2 linked regions of the Alligator mississippiensis genome follow. The protein of the gene in region 1 interacts with the protein of each later gene in a pairwise test. Links are inferred from orthologs where the notes say so. Each region holds a gene or a part of one and is shown on either strand. Other genes may lie near its edges. The genes, in order: NR1H2 and NPY.

Region 1 (3,903 bases):
GGGGATACAGGGCTGTGGAAGTGAGGGGGTGTGGGGGATTTGGGGACCCTGAAGAGGCTGGGGCTGGGCTGGGGCAAGTGTGGGACAATCCAGCCCCCTCCCTGCCATGAGGCCACTTCCAGAAGCCTTTCCCTTCTAGAAGGTGCCTGCCCAGATCCAACCCCAGTGCAGGGGCATGGGCTGGCACAGGGGACAGGGATAGAGCAGGGGCCTTTCCTTTTTAGGGGGTTCCAGCCCTGAAGCATTGTGGGCCTGGGCAGATGAGTGTGGGGGTGCCCCCATGAGGCAGGCCTTGGGTTTTGAGATCCCTGTAGCATTTCCTGTCCTGGTACAGAGACCTCCCCCCAGCCCCAGCCAGGTCTTCTCTCCTCTCTGGCCCCTGTTGGGGGTGGGGGGGTCCAGTTTTGGGATGGGCGCCTTTCAGCGACTCCTGTATAGGGAGCTCAAACCTGCCCCTTAGAATCCCCACCACCCACGTGACTCCCCAGTACAGGGGCTCTGTCTATGGGCTGGAAAGCAGGAGCAAGCTACAAACCCGGGGGCAGGCTGCATCTGGGGAACCCCTCGAAGTAGGAAGCTCAAGCTTACCCCCCAAAATTTCCCCCCCGCCCCGCCATTCAGCCCAGTGTTGGGCAAGGGGATTGGATGGCACCGGTGCATTTGAGAGGCTATATATTTCCAATGCGGGGGGGGGGGGGGGGCTATATCTCATTAACTACTAAATCCAGCAAACTCAAATTTGCTTCCCATAGCCCCCCCACCGGGTTCCTGCTGCAATTTCCAAGCAGACCGGACCATGCCACGGCCAGCTAAGAGGAAAACACCTTCCAGATTGGGGGGCCTATTTTGGGAATCCCTAAGTCCAGCGTGCTCAGATTTACCCCTCTTAACCCCCGCAGCCCCCGGAATCCCAGTGGCGATTTCCAAGCAGATCGGACCATACTGGAGGGAGCTGAGAAACGCGCCCCCAGGCTGGAAGGGGGTTTCCTATCTCGGGAACCCTTCAATCCAGCGAGCTCCAACTGCTCGCGTCCCCCCCCCCCCCCAGACAAGATTCAGCCGGATCCCGGGATCTGTGCTGCGACTTCCGAGCAGATTGGACCATGTTGCGGGGAGCTGAGAGGGGAAACACGTTTCCAATGTTAGGGGCTGTATGTCGGGAACCCCTCAATCCAGCGGGCTCAGACTTGCCCCCCAAAATACCCCGACTCTGCGCCGCGGCTCCTGGGGGGAGGGGGGCGGTCGCACCCGGCAAGGGATTTTTTTGAGGAGTGACGGGGGTAGAAAGCAGATTTCCGCTCCCAACAGCAACAATGTTGCAACCTCTGCTGCGGGGGGAGGGGGCTAAGTGGGGCAGCCCGAGCCCCTCCGCCGCTCCCCCACCCCCCAGGGCACGGGGTTGGGGGGGACAGCCGGTTCCACCCCCCCTTCCTCCCCAATTGCACCGGATCCGGGGGGGCTGGGCTGGAAGTGACGTGGATGTGGGGGTTCCCGGAAAGGCCCGTGTGAATGCGTGTGCGTGTGTGTGTGTGTGGGGGGGGGCGCCTGGAAGGAGACAGGTATGGGGTCTGGGATCGGGGGCGGGGCCGGGAGGGCTGGGATGGGGGGTAGGGGCAGGCATGGAGCCTGGGATGGCGAGGCTGGGCAGGCCAGGGGGGCTGGGATAAGTGCAGGGTGAGCCAGGCAGGGGGCTGGGATCGGGACAGGGGGCTGGGAGTTTGTGGGGCTGGGGATAGCAGAGGGGGGTCGGGAGGGGAAGGAGGAGAAGGAAGAGGCAGGGTTGGGGGAGGGACAGGACCAGAGTAGGGTCCAGGACCCAGTTATGAGGTGTGGGGGGCAGAGAAGCAGGTGCCTGGGGGGGATTGGGGCTGAGGGGCAGCACTGGGGGTCCGGAGCTGGGATGGGGGGAGTGATGTGGGGCTGGGCTGGGAGGTAAGGGTAGGGCATGAGGGACTGGGATTGGGGGGCCTGGGCAAGGTGGGGGGGGCAGGCTGGGGGACTAGGAGCTTGTAGGGTTTGTGTGAGGAGAGCAGAGGGGTCTGAAAGGAGGAAGGGTGGGCAGCAGGATGGGTCCAGGACTTGGTTATGGAGTGTGTGGGGGGCAGAAGCAGGGGCTCTGGGCAGGGAGTTAGAGGGGCAATCAGGGATGGGAGGAGTTCTGGGGGTTTAGAGCTTGGATTGGATTTGGGAGGGAGTGAGGTGGGGCATGGGTGGCAGCCCCAAGCAGGGGAAGGGGCTGGGGAATGTCGGGGGGGGGGAGTGGTAGGTAAGGGGGCACTCCCTGCCAAACAGGAAGGACCCCACTTCCCTTTGCTTCTCAGAGTTATTCCCCTGGGAGCAGCCCAGACCCTGAAGGATCCCCCAGAACTTGCCCCAGTGCCCCCCAGGGCAGTGCCATGTGGCCCCTGCCCAGCTGAGCCTGCCCCCAGGAGGTGGTGGACATGGTGAGAAGTGGGAGATATTGGTTGTGGGGGGCCTGGGGGTGGTTCCCTCACAGCTCTGTGGGACAGCGGTGAGTGCTGGTGGGGTGGGGTGGGGGGTCTGTTTCTGCTTGTCTGACCATCCTTCTGTCTCTCCTTCTGTAGCACTGGGACTGGGTGCCACTGGCAGCCCACCACGCCCCAACATGGCCACACCGGGATCTGACCTACTGCCGGGTGAGTGACGGGCAAATTGGGGTGTGGGTGTGGGGTCCCTTTCTGTGACAGAACCCAGGCATCCGGGCAGTGGCTGCCCTTCCACCCCCCCCAAGTAACACAATAATCCCTGCAGGAGAACCCAGGCATCAGAAGCCCCATCAGAGGAACCCAGGCTACTTCCCTCTGGTGTCCAGGCATCTGAGGACCCACAGCCTCCCTTCCCTTTGCCCCAGTCCTGCAGCACTCCACCAAAGACCCAGGTGTCTGGGCAGCCACAGGCTTCTCCTTTGGGGATACTACTGCTGACCTCTCTCCCCCACTTCCCCCCCACTTTCCAGAGAACAGGGAGCCTTGGAGCCCAGCCCCCACCAGAGCCCCTGACCCAGAGTTGAAGAACGAGGGCCCCCACTCCCAGCTGGAGTTGGGAGCTGTAGCAGACAGTGAGGTGCCGGGCACCGATGGGGAAGGAACCGCCCAGAGCACTGGTGAGGGGCTGGGGGGTGGTGAATGGGGTGGGAGGGGCTAGAGCAAGGGGTGAGGAGTGCATCTGTGGGTGCTGGGCTCAGCAGGGCAGGGGAGCTGGCTGTCAGTGGGGCTGCAGGGACAGGGGGCCCTGGTGGGGCTGAATGGGTGAGAACTGAGGAGAGTAGCTAAAGAGATGGGGGGCAGTGGGGCATGGAAGCAGTGGAGGGGTATCATTGCAGCCAGTGGGGGGGCAGTAGGGCATGGGGGGTCCAGTGGGGAGCAGTGTATGGGCAGGTCACTGGGACATGGGGAGCAGTGGGGAAGTAATGGGATATAGGGATAGTGGGGCATAAGAGGATAGGGAGCAGTGGGGCATGGAGGGGCAATGGAAGGGTGTCAGAGGGCCCAGTGCGGGGACAGTGGAGAATGGGGGGCAGTGGGGTACGAGGGCTAGTGAGTTGGGGGCAGTGGGGGGGGGTCAGTGAGGCATGGGAAGTAGTTGGGGGGTCAGTGGGGCATAATGGGCAAGGCTCAGCAGGCAAGGCCTGGTGCTCTGAGCCTGACCCTGATGCCCCACTTTGCTCCTCTATCCCTATGGCTGCAGGGGAGGAACCGGTGCGGCGCCACCGCAAGGGCCCGGCGCCTAAGATGCTGGGCACAGAGCGGTGCAGTGTATGCAGGGACAAAGCCTCAGGCTTCCACTACAATGTGCTGAGCTGTGAGGGCTGCAAGGGCTTCTTTCGCCGCAGTGTCATCAAGGGGGCACAGTATGCCTGCCGTGGTGCTGGCCAATGCCACA
Region 2 (3,903 bases), about 120 Mb from region 1:
ATGCAGGGCATTCCATGAATGAAAGTCCTTTCTCTTGCTTGCTGTAAAATGTAGCCCAAATTTAATTGTGTAATATTGGATAATATCTTAATAAGGTATGGGAACGAGCCCTGGGAATCTGATACTTCCCCTTTCCCATGGTCTGAAAGCCATAATTTTGGGAACTTCTCAACGAGTTGCAAGGAAAAATAGTTTGATAGGGGTTTAGTTTGGTGGAAATGTTGAGACTCTGTTCTTGGAGTAGCTGGTGGGTAGACAGCAACCTTTTTAACAGAGTAAGTTGAGTTAATTTATTTCTGTCCATTTTTTTAAATCTTCTGGGTTTATTTTGTAGTCTTAAAAGTAATTGATGGGGTGTTTACTACTCATATTTATAATTTTTTTGTTTTATTTAACTCTAAAGACAAAAAATCAAATAAAATAATATGTTAGCAGAACAGAAATAGGAGGGTAAAAAGATGAGCAGCTAACCAGAAACACCTGATTTGAAAGTCAGGCGATCACTTTATTTGCTAGCATACATTTTTCCTCTTTTGTTAGATTACTGGCTGTTATTTTTTCTGTAGCTCTGCGAATGAAGCCTGAGAGGCTGGCAAATGGATGTGCAGTTGCTGTTTTCTGACACCAAAATGCATAGGCATTAGTGTCATAGAGAAGTAGGGCTTCTCCTGAGGGCTTCTAGTCCAACCCTCTGCCTGAGGCAGGATCATCCCTCTCCAAACTGTCACATATAACCATACTGTAAAAAAACTCTACCTAAGACTACCCTCAGTCCTGATGCACGCAGACCTAACACCCTAACCTGCCACAGGTGAAGCAGGGGAACCAGGGCAGCGAACAACCTCCTGCTTCTGTAAAATGTCAATCTGTGCTCAAGAGGTCCCAGATACTCCTAGGAGCCATTTGAATCCCCTCTTGCTGCTGCTGTCATACGACTTGTTCTTGTCAAACCTTGTGCGCTTTGGAGCCAGTGGAAGCTCTACAGCCCGTTCAGCAACCCCTAGCACAGGTGCCAGAGCGTGGCCCGCAAAGGTGTTTTGCTTGGCGCGCACACCTTGAGGTGGGTGGTGGGAAAGGGGTCAGGGCTGCGCGGCCACAACAGGGATCCAGACCCCTTTTTGCTCCGCTGCCACCTGCCCCTGGCACGCCAACAAGTTGAGGTTGCAGGGGGTTTTGGCACTCTGCCCCAAACTGTTGCCAACCCCTGCTCTAGGGGAAGAGGTCCCTTTTCATTTGGAAGTGCATGTCCACACAGGGCGCAATCTTAGCCCAGCTCTCCTAGGCTCCCTAAACTGCTGTAGTTGTGCTGGTGGCTCTCCCTGCCTCCACGGCCCCAGCGCCTGCTCGTTTTGCTGGGCCAGTTTCTGGGTTTTCACAGGACCCGGGTGCCAAGGCCGGGTTTTCTTCGGCCGGCCGTCAAGGGCTGGAGTCGGTGTAAGGGGCACGGGCAAGGCCACAGAGTCGGAGCGGGACCTCCAGCAGGGCCCGAGCAGCGGGGCCGGCACAGAGCCCGCTTGGGAAGGGCGGGGGTGGGGGAGTCGGAGGGGCAGCCGGAGCCCGCGCCGCGCCACGCCGCGGGGGTTGGGGGGGCAGGCGGGGGTGGGACCGGAGCCACCGAGGCCCCTCCCGTCTCGCCGGGCAAGCCATAAAAAACCCGGGCGAGGCGCTGAGCCGCACACAGCAGCGCCGAGCCACGGGCGAGAGGCTGCAGGAGGAGCGAGAGCCCGGCTGTCCGACAGCAACGTGAGTACGGGCGGCCCCGAGCAGCCCGCCCTGCCGGAGCCTCTCCCCCATCCCGGCGCGGGAAGGACTTGTCCCCGCTCCTGCGCCGAGCTGGGAGCCTCGGGCGCTCCCTGTTCCCGCCCCAGCCCGTCCTGCCCCGGGGTGAGCCCGCCCCGCCCGGCTCTTCTCCGCGCCCGCCGCTGCCCCTGCCCCGCGGAGCTCCTAGTTCGCAGCAAGCTGGTGCCTGCCGCACGCGCCGCCTGCAACCGGCGCGCTGGGCTTCATGCCTGCACCCTCCTGGGTCGGTTAGTTTGCCGCTCCCCCCGGCCCCCAAATCCAAGTGTGTAGTGAAGTACTTGGTAGCGACTAGTAAGGTGAGCGAGGCTGTGCGCTGCCCCCTCAGCAAGGTGCGGGGTGGAGAGAAGGCGCTCAAAGTTTCTCGGCTGCCCGCCAAGCCTTCCTGCATGTGGAGCAGGCTGCAGGACAGCTCCTGGCTGCGCCGGGCAGGCGTGAGCGCTGAGCGCTTGGCCTGGGATTCTTCTGAGGAGAAAAGCAGGTTGGCGCCTGCCGACTTCTGTCTCCTTTCACAAAGTTTTGCCCACAGGCATACAGTTTAATGCTCTTTTCTGCCCCTTTTCCCCAACCCCCCGGTGTTGTGCAGATGCAGGGAACCATGAGGTTGTGGCTGTCCGTGCTGACTTTTGCCCTGTCCTTGCTGATCTGCTTGGGGACACTGGCAGAGGCTTATCCATCCAAACCGGACAATCCTGGAGAGGATGCACCAGCAGAGGACATGGCCAGATACTACTCGGCACTGAGGCACTACATCAATCTCATCACAAGGCAGAGGTAAGGCAATGTGCATCCCAGCGTGGCAATGGAGGGTAGATAAGGCTAGGCTATCCTGTGGGGAGGAAGCCTTTGTATTCCTCAGCACACCTCTTCTCCAGGTCTCTAAGAAACACGGGACAAAAGGTGACTCACAGGAGAATCTTGAATTTTAATCCGTAGAAAAAAGGGGAAATAAATTAACATCTCAGACACTTCTCTATGTGAGAAGTTTCTTCCCTATCTACAGCAGTCAGCAATGAACATTATGTGGAGTGTTGCTTGAACTCCGGTATGATTTATGAATGATGGGTTCTTCATACCTCCCAGGTGTAAAATACAGCCATCTCACCCTGTTCTAGGTAGAGACTTGGCATAAGGTCCTGAGCATGGTCTAGTGGGAGTCTGGAGGAGATGTAAAACAGCCCTGTCAGTACTCTCAACACTCGCCACTTCATTAGCTTAAGAACATAAGATGCAGACAGTAATGGCGGGAAAAGGGCTGTATCAACCTGAGCCTGATTTCCTTCAGTCTTGTTAGGTTTTAACACGCATAGTTTGGACACGAACATAAGCAGTAGGACAGAGGAGGGAGGGAAATAAAATATAACCAACTTGGAGCATGAAAGTGTGAGGCAGAGGAAGAAAACCACTTTTACACTTCCATTGTGGCTACTACGTCTAATATAAGTTTCCTGGAGAAAGGAACTGTGTTCTTGTTGAAGTCCTGTAGTAATTCAGAAATCCTGTGTTTCTTAACAGCTGCTTAACCTAGTAGGTACGACTGGGAAAAAAAAAGAAAAGTTGCACCAGTAATGCAAACCTACCAAACCTTCCTTTCCTTAGAAAAGGGATCTAGGACTGAGCCTAACTAGTTGAAGTCTGGTAAAAAATTAAACTGGAGTGAAAGGTAAAAATACAGCCAGGTGTACAGCCAAATTCCAAGTAAATCCCTTTATTTGGAAGAGTCGTCCAATTTAATTCCTCTGGTTAACAGAGGAATGCACTTCGCTTGAAACCCCTGAACAGCATGTGGCCCAGAAAGGCTTGAATTATCATTCAATTCGTTTAGTATCAGAAATGGATGAGATATCTTTAATTACATTTTCATTGGTTTGTTTCCTCTTGAAGTCTGAAGAATTAAATTAGAAGGAAGGATATCTTTTAACTGAGAGCCTTCCTAGCAAAATGTTGACATTGTCTGGTATGGCACCAATGTCAGAGACAGCAGATGAAGGGACTTATAACAAGACTGCTCTTTAGCCCCACATTTTTAAAAGACGCATCTTCAATTTGCTATCCTGTATAGCATTCATGTTAGCCTGTGATCTGATAACTTTTCATCTGGACCTC

Evidence for each region.
Region 2: the proteins of NR1H2 (region 1) and NPY interact in a two-hybrid assay, tested with the Homo sapiens proteins (3 studies listed by BioGRID and IntAct). The link is inferred for Alligator mississippiensis from reciprocal best matches to the Homo sapiens genes NR1H2 and NPY.

Annotation. Positions count from the first base shown.
Region 1 is NC_081828.1:40,185,086-40,188,988, forward strand, and holds the start of NR1H2 (oxysterols receptor LXR-beta), read left to right. Parts: upstream 1-1,474; 5' UTR 1,475-1,559; intron 1,560-2,321; 5' UTR 2,322-2,444; intron 2,445-2,585; 5' UTR 2,586-2,626; coding exon 2,627-2,657; intron 2,658-2,977; coding exon 2,978-3,124; intron 3,125-3,708; coding exon 3,709-3,903. UniProt on the Homo sapiens protein: Nuclear receptor that exhibits a ligand-dependent transcriptional activation activity. Binds preferentially to double-stranded oligonucleotide direct repeats having the consensus half-site sequence 5'-AGGTCA-3' and 4-nt spacing (DR-4).
Region 2 is NC_081828.1:158,224,224-158,228,126, reverse strand, and holds the start of NPY (pro-neuropeptide Y), read left to right. Parts: upstream 1-1,635; 5' UTR 1,636-1,743; intron 1,744-2,002; exon of another isoform or gene 2,003-2,096; intron 2,097-2,383; coding exon 2,384-2,571; intron 2,572-3,903. UniProt on the Homo sapiens protein: NPY is implicated in the control of feeding and in secretion of gonadotrophin-release hormone.